2 linked regions of the Callithrix jacchus genome follow. The protein of the gene in region 1 purifies or fractionates together with the protein of each later gene. This does not show direct contact. Links are inferred from orthologs where the notes say so. Each region holds a gene or a part of one and is shown on either strand. Other genes may lie near its edges.

Region 1 (3,825 bases):
TGTGAGGCGGAAAAATACTTTGAAGAAGTAGTATTTGAAAACGCCCCAGTTTGGCAAAAGACAAACCAGTAGATTCACGAAGCTAAATAAACACCAAATAAGATAAACCCAAAATCCAGGCTCATGATAATCAAAATTTCTGAAATCTTAAGAACCCCATTCCTCCTGACAAAGTCTTAAAAGCCTCTCAGTGAAACAACACATTACCTTTAGGATGATAATAATTTGACTGAAGTGAGTGCCTTATCAGAAGCCAGGGAAGCCAGAAAGAAGTGGCATAACATTTTTCAAATGCTGGAAGAAGAGAACTGTGAACCCTTCTGCAGCAAAAATACCCTTCAGGAATTAAAGTAACATAAGGACATTTTCAGAATGAAACTAAACTAAGAAATTTATCCCCAGCAGTCTTGCTCTCAAAGAATTTCTGTAGGAAGTCTTTCAAACAGAAGGGAAGGGATAAGAAAACTTGGAATATCAGGAATGAATAAAGAACAGCAGAACGGTTGAATATCTGAGAAGACTTTTGTCCTGGGTGTTTAAAATTGTGTTTGACATTTGAAACAAAAGTTATAACATTTCTGAAGTAGTCCTGGTATGCAGTAATGATATTTAAGATAACTCTTTCATAAAGAGGGAGAGAGTAAAGGGATATAATTTTTGGTAAGGTTTCTGTATTCCACTTGAAGTAGTTAGATGTTGATACTAGTAGACTGATAAGTTATGTATATTATAATCCCTAGAGCACGCATCAAAAAACTATAATGAGAGGCTTAAGAAACTGTAGATATTTTAAAATACAATAGTAAAAATTGCTCAAGTAGCCCACAGGAAGGTGGGAAAGGAGAAACAAAATTAATGATAAAATGCTAGACTTAAATCCTAACATTATAAATAATTACATTAAATGTAAATGTTCTAAACACATCTGTTAAAAGATTTGCAAAATGGATATAAAACCACTATGATCCAAGAATATGCTTCTATAAGGAAATCACAGTTATTTATTTAGAGACAGACCATTACTGTGTTGCCCTAGCTGGAGTACAGTGGTGAAATCTCAGCTTGTTGCAGCTTCCGCCTCAAGCAGAGCTTGAAGTTCAACTGTTCTCGTGCCTCAGTCTCTCGAGTAGCTGGGCTTAGAGGCATGCACCACCAAACCTGGCTAATTTTTGTATTTTTAGTAGAGACGGGCTTTTACCACATTGGCCAGGCTTGTCTCAAACTCCTGACCTCAGGTGATCCGCACACCTCAGCCTCCAAAAGTGCTGGGATTACAGGCATGAGCCACCGCAGCCAGATGCAAATCACTTTCTTATAACGACACATTATGCTAAAGGTTATCTATTAAATAATCTGCAGTAAATCTCATACTTCATGGTGAGATTACAGAAGCTTTCCCATTAGAGTTAGGGACTAAACTGGAACGTTTCTATCACTGCTTCTATTCAACAATTTAAAAAAGGAAATAAATAACGGAATTAAAAAGGAAGAGATGCAATTGGGTTTTTTTGATTATTAGAAAATCCAAGAGAACCTGCAAACTTAACACTGATGAGAGTTCAGCAAAGTTACTGGATATAAAATTAACATGAAAACTACCCATTTGTCTAGTAAAAAGTAAGTTTGAAAATGTGATAGCAGCAAAGATACTATTTACATTAGCAGCAGTAGCAACAAGAATTGTAACTAAGAACATGTTTATTAAAGATCTGTAAGATTTTAATAAAGAAAATTTCAGAGCAGAATAAAGGAAGACCCAAATAAATGTTGCAGTATACCATCATGATCTTGGATTGGAAGGCTGAATTTTATAACAATGTCCAAATTAATCTACAAGTCCAATGCATTTCTGTTTAGTTCCCTTTCCCTCACTTTATAGGGAATGGAACCTGCAATTTATATTTGCAAACAAATATCCATGAAGAGTCAAAATATTCCTGTATAGGGAGTAGTTGGTGGGTGGGGGACAGGAGAGAGAGAGTTCCAGCTGTGGTAATTAAGTTGGGATAATAAGGGCACATGTATAAAGATCAGATGTGGCATTACAAATCAATGGAGTTAGGGAAAATTTGGCTCTTAAAAAAAAAAAAAAAGCCAAGTGTGCTGGCATGTGCTTGTAGTCCCAGCTGTTTAGGTGGCTGGTACAGGAACATCTTTTGAGCCCACAAACAAAAACACACACTGGTTTGTGTCACCTGAGATGTTGCAACAACAACTGAAAAGAAAACATATCAATGGGGTAAGCATGGACTAAGTAAGAATATTACTAAGATTATTGGTTATTCACATGATAAAAATGAAAATAAAAGTAGATCTTGACCTCACTTCATGCTCAATGATTAGATTAAAGAAATATATATAACATGTAAAACTTTATAAAGACTGTGGAAGAATATACCAAAGAATAGGAAAGATTTCATGAAGAAAACTCAGAAGCCTACCATAAAAGGAAAGATTGACAGATGTGACTACATTAAAATTAAACAAAACACCTCTATGTAGGAGATGTCATAAACAAAGGGGAGAAGATGGGCTACAGACTAGGAAAAGATATATTCAACTCACATAGCTTAGAAAGATTTAGAATCCAGAATATGTAAAAAAAACTTGCTAGTTCATTTTGGATTTAATGTTTGGTTTAGGTTTTTAAAATAATGCTTATTTTTTCATTTTAGTAGAAGAAGTAGAAGTAGAAAAATTAATTTATCCAATTTTTATAAATTATGATAGTTAATATTTATTGATAATGTACTATTTTAATACTTTGTTCTTTAATACTTTGATCTTTACAGCAACTCTGTGAATTAGATGATATTTCTATTATACCTACTTTACAGTTGACAAAACTTAGACTGAGGGAGATTAGATATTTTGCCAAAGATAACACTAATTTGGTCTCTGTAACACCAGAGTCTGATCTTCTGAATTGTGCCACAGTTCTGGTTAAAGATGAGAAAACTGAGGCTAGAAAATTTATGGAGATGTTTATATGATGAACTTTGCCTAACAGTTATTGTCATTTGGAGCCAGGATGTTTAGATTCCACTTTGGTTCCTATTGTTTATGAAGTACATTTCATGTTTTTTGCTTTGTTTTGTTTTAGTATAATGCTTCATCCCAGCAGCAAAGAGAAATAATTAAAAGTAGGAGCCTGGACAGGCGACTGCAAGAGCCAATAGTATTAACAAAGTGGAGACACAGCACCATTGTATTGGACACTAATGACAAGGTAGGACTGTTGAGATTTTTGGCAAGTTCTTTGCATTATATTGTACAGTGAATTATAACCATTTGTACTAATATTTTATGTATTTAATAAATATAATTTTCTAAAGCATTTGATTTTTTTAAAACTAAGCTCTTGATGTGCATGTATATTGAAATGTTTCTACATTATTTTTTTCTTTAACCAAATTGCATACCTTAGTGACTACATATTTATGTATTTAGCATCAGTTTGTCATGAAGTAGGTTTTGGTTTTTGCACAATGGACTGAATTATCTGCGGCTTACTGATGTGTATACCTTGATACATTTGATCCTAGTAGATGACAGATTTTTCTTGCTTACCTTATTTTAAAGTCACATTTCTGTATCCTTTGTCTTCAGTCTCTAGGAGATTTCTTAGGGAAGACATTTAATTAATTTTCCTCATCCCAGGGAATATTGGAATTCTGTTCCCTTTGTTTCTCTAAGTGCTCTCTGCAGAAGGCAGTTCTATTATCAATCTGATAAGTCATGTTCTCTGTTTATAGGGATTAATTTTAATGCAAACATTAGAATGGATATTTTAAATACTTCTTTAGAAGTTACTTATTCATAGTG
Region 2 (3,825 bases), on another chromosome or scaffold:
TGTAGCTACAATCAACCTAAATTCAGCCAATGATAGCTGGTTTGGCAGCTTGAAGGACACTATTCAGCATCAGCAAGGAGAAGCAGTTTGGGTCTCTGAAGGAAAGGTATGTGGCATAGATACGCTGCTATAAGGTTAGAGTCCCTGTTCTGAAACTTTCTCAAGAGGGCAGTGAATGTAGTCAAGCCATTCCCATTTGAAGTGATGCTCACATGTGTCCTAATCAAGTTTGAAATTTCATAAATTCTCTGACCAAGTAATAAAAATGAAGGGACTTTTAAAAGAAGAGCAGAATGTGATGTGTGCAGCCCTACATTCACTTCCCTTTTACTTCTAACGTAGTAACTAGTGTTGTATTCCAAGTACACTAATCAGAGCTTACAAGATCTCATGCTGAGCTCCACAGCTTACTAAGGACGTGGGAAACTTAGAGTGCAGATGAGAGGTGAGGTTGAGCAACTTGGAGAATATGGCTAAAAATTAATAAAAAGAAGAAAAGCGAATAGAGTCGGAATTACTTAGAATAAAAGTTGAGTTGTGTTGGGAATGTGCCATTGTTCTGAGAGTTTGAAAGGGTGATGTGGGAGCATTAGGGAATTTGTCTAGGCCTCTAGAATTGGATCGCTTGTTCCTGGTGGAGATAGCTCAAACATGCAGCTGTGCTGTAGGGAGGAAAGAGGGAGATTCTATTACCTGTGGCCCCTTTTATTCTAGAAGCTTTTGGTGCTAGTATCCTGTACACCAGCTGAACTGAGGTAGTTTGGTGAGACTTTACAGTGACTGTTTTGTTGCAGAATTGACTAAGTCTTGCTCTTTGAGAACTAGATGTTTAGTCAAAGTATCGGGCATCTATGGAATGCTTCCAGTTTGGATGACTCTTCACAAGCTTCCCTGGGGAGAGCAAGTTGAGCAGGACATAGCTTCTGCCTTTGAGGGGCTGAGAATCTTGTAGAGTCGTGGATGGGGGTGTACACAAGGCAGTGTGCATGTGTTAATATTACTAGGAGAGTGGTCCCAGAAGAACAGGCTGCAGAGGAGCTGGATTCAGAAGAAAAGCAAGACAGTCTGAGAGAGTATGGCTCAGCCGTGGTATGGAGTATGGATGGTAGCACAGACAGGCTACCGGGCCCCTAATTCGAGTTCCTGCACAAAAATGAGCATAGTACCAAAGCCGCCAAGTGATTTCAGGGAGAAAAATGAAAGATGCCTTCCCTGGCGAGCACATTGGGGTTTTAGTCACTTGGCTGTGCCCTTGGGAATTTTCTTGAGGCCACACTCCTGGAGCCATGTCAGACCCCACTGACCCTCCGACACAAATTCCTCTAGATGGAAGGGATGGATGATGACCCCGAAGACCGCATGTCCTACTTAACTGCCATGGGCGCGGACTATCTGAGTTGCGACAGCCGCCTCATCAGTGACTTTGAAGACACGGACGGCGAAGGAGGCGCCTACACTGACAATGAGCTGGATGAGCCAGCCGAGGAGCCGCTGGTGTCGTCCATCACCCGCTCCTCCGAGCCGGTGCAGCACGAGGAGGTGAGGCGAGGCAGGCCACGGGCAGGAGCAGGAGAGCCTGGTGTTTTCCTTGCACTCTCATGGACAGCTGTGTGTTCAGGGTGCTGTGGAAGGCGTTCCTAAGGGATGGAGCAGATGACTTCCAGGGTATCTCGCTCTGAGTCCACACTGGCATGGTTGCAGTCTGTGGGAGAGTGGGGCAGGCAGGTGGGTTTCAGAAGAGCTTGAGTGGTCAGCACTCCTCACACCCACGCCCTCAGGCGTGATGGATAAACAGAATGGCTTTATGTGTCAGCTGTCCAAATTACCAGAGGAACATTCCTTCCCATGCAGTATTGTTGTATGTGCTTGTAACCTTTGATTAGGTTTCTCTCTGTACTCTTAGATGTCCTTGCTTTCCTTCCCCATCCTGCCTTTAACCTTTCTAATCTTGCCAAAGCTCTTGAGTATTTCCCTATCAGTTTCCTTCTCTCTTTTATATTTCAGTTTTTTAATTGAGTTCATGATCAGACATTCATCTGATCACATGTACTGTGCATCCACTGTGATTAAACAGTTTACAGGATCCTTATACATTGAGAGACACTGTAAAGTCACCGCCAGGTTAGGACCAGAGCAATTATTAGTTGCACCTCAGAGAATGTTGGAATAAAATGATCTTTGTAGATGAGATTGGGCGTATATTTGGATAATTATTGCTGTGGATTTCTCTTTACCAATTTAGCTCGTTCCAGTCAATGATTTTTTTTCTTTCTGAAATAGAACTATTTAAAAAAAAAAAAAAAAAAAAAAGACCCAACAACAACAAACTGAAGGGGGGGAAAAATACACCATCACCACAGCAACAAATTAGTTTATGCTAGACAAACTATAAAGAATAAATTAACTCCCAGATGTCTATAGACTAGATGTTGTTAGTGACACAAGAGATTTTAGGCTTTTGGAGGGTTCTTTGAAAAATGTGCTTTAAAGGAAAAGATTCTACATTGGATGCAGCCACTTTTTAAAAATGTGTCTGAAGCATTTGGTGATGGTGTCTGCCTGTTCAGTAAAGAAGTACCGGCTCAGGACCTCAGCTTCTGAACTTACTCAAGTTTGCAGAACTCCTGCAAAGCAGATGAGTGCTCTGTTCTCTCTGCTTGTATGCTCTTGTTGTGAATAAACCTTTATGTCTTGTAGAGCATAAGGAAACCCAGCCCAGAGCCACGAGCTCAGATGAGGAGGGCTGCTAGCAGCGATCAACTTAGGGACAATAGCCCGCCCCCAGCATTCAAGCCAGAGCCACCCAAGGTACGTGGCTGGGAAGCCGAGGATGGGAAGCAAGAGGAAGCAGGTGCCTCTGGGGTCCTGGACAGCCAGGGAGGAGCATGCCTGATAAGATGGTGTTTAATTACAGTTGTAACTCATTAGTCAGTCTTTTGGCCTGTTGGGTGAACCCTCAAATTAGGGAAGGGCAAAAAAGGAAGGAAAGGCAATACTAGGAGAGCACATACTTTTAGGACTGTTAGTGTTTGTTTAATCTACTTTTTTTGTTGTTAAAAAAAAAAAAAAAGATTGTAAAGACAAAGATTTTTAAAAATGCTGCATGCCCAGAATCACCAATTGCAGAATCTGTTTTTCTTTTGCTGTCCAGCTAAAGTTTTCTGCCCACAGACTGATTTAGATGCACCAGATAATTCTTACTGGTGATTTGCTAAAGAGAATATCATCAACATTGCTTGCAATGCCTCTTGTTAAGAGAGCTGCTTATTTGTTTAATAAATTATTACCAAGAACAGAATCAATATAAAGACACAAAGATTATGTCTTTATGTAATCAAAATATTATTTACCTTCAGTCAGAATCAGAGCAATGACTCTATGCTTTTCCTTATAAACAAATAAAATCTATTTGACTCAATAATTTATTTTATTATTTATTATTATTTTTTGAGACAGAGTCTCACTCTGTTGCCCAGGCTGGAGTACAGTGGCACAATCTCAGCTCACTGCAGCCTCCACCTCCTGGATTCAAGTGATTATTCTGCATCAGCCTCCCAAGTACCTGGGACTTGCAGGCATACACCACTACATTCAGCTAATTTTTGTATTTTTAGTAGAGATGGATTTTGACATGTTGGCCAGGCTGGTCTCAAACTCCTTTCCTCAGGTGATCCACTCATCTTGGCCTCCCACAGTGGTGGGATTACAGGCATGAGCCACCACGCCCGGCCTAACTCAATAATTTAGATAAGAAGAAAGCAATAATTGATTTTGTGAGCTGTCAGAAGTAGTAAATATGATAGGTTCTGAGTAATAATAATAATA

Evidence for each region.
Region 2: the proteins of ARHGAP12 (region 1) and TJP2 purify together in Homo sapiens (co-immunoprecipitation; 3 studies listed by BioGRID and IntAct, with this or other methods). This does not show direct contact. The link is inferred for Callithrix jacchus from reciprocal best matches to the Homo sapiens genes ARHGAP12 and TJP2.

The regions. Positions count from the first base shown.
Region 1 is NC_133508.1:31,608,121-31,611,945, reverse strand, and holds part of ARHGAP12 (rho GTPase-activating protein 12), read left to right. Parts: intron 1-3,103; coding exon 3,104-3,229; intron 3,230-3,825. UniProt on the Homo sapiens protein: GTPase activator for the Rho-type GTPases by converting them to an inactive GDP-bound state.
Region 2 is NC_133502.1:95,851,548-95,855,372, forward strand, and holds part of TJP2 (tight junction protein 2), read left to right. Parts: intron 1-5; coding exon 6-106; intron 107-1,326; coding exon 1,327-1,539; intron 1,540-2,697; coding exon 2,698-2,808; intron 2,809-3,825. UniProt on the Homo sapiens protein: Plays a role in tight junctions and adherens junctions. Acts as a positive regulator of RANKL-induced osteoclast differentiation, potentially via mediating downstream transcriptional activity.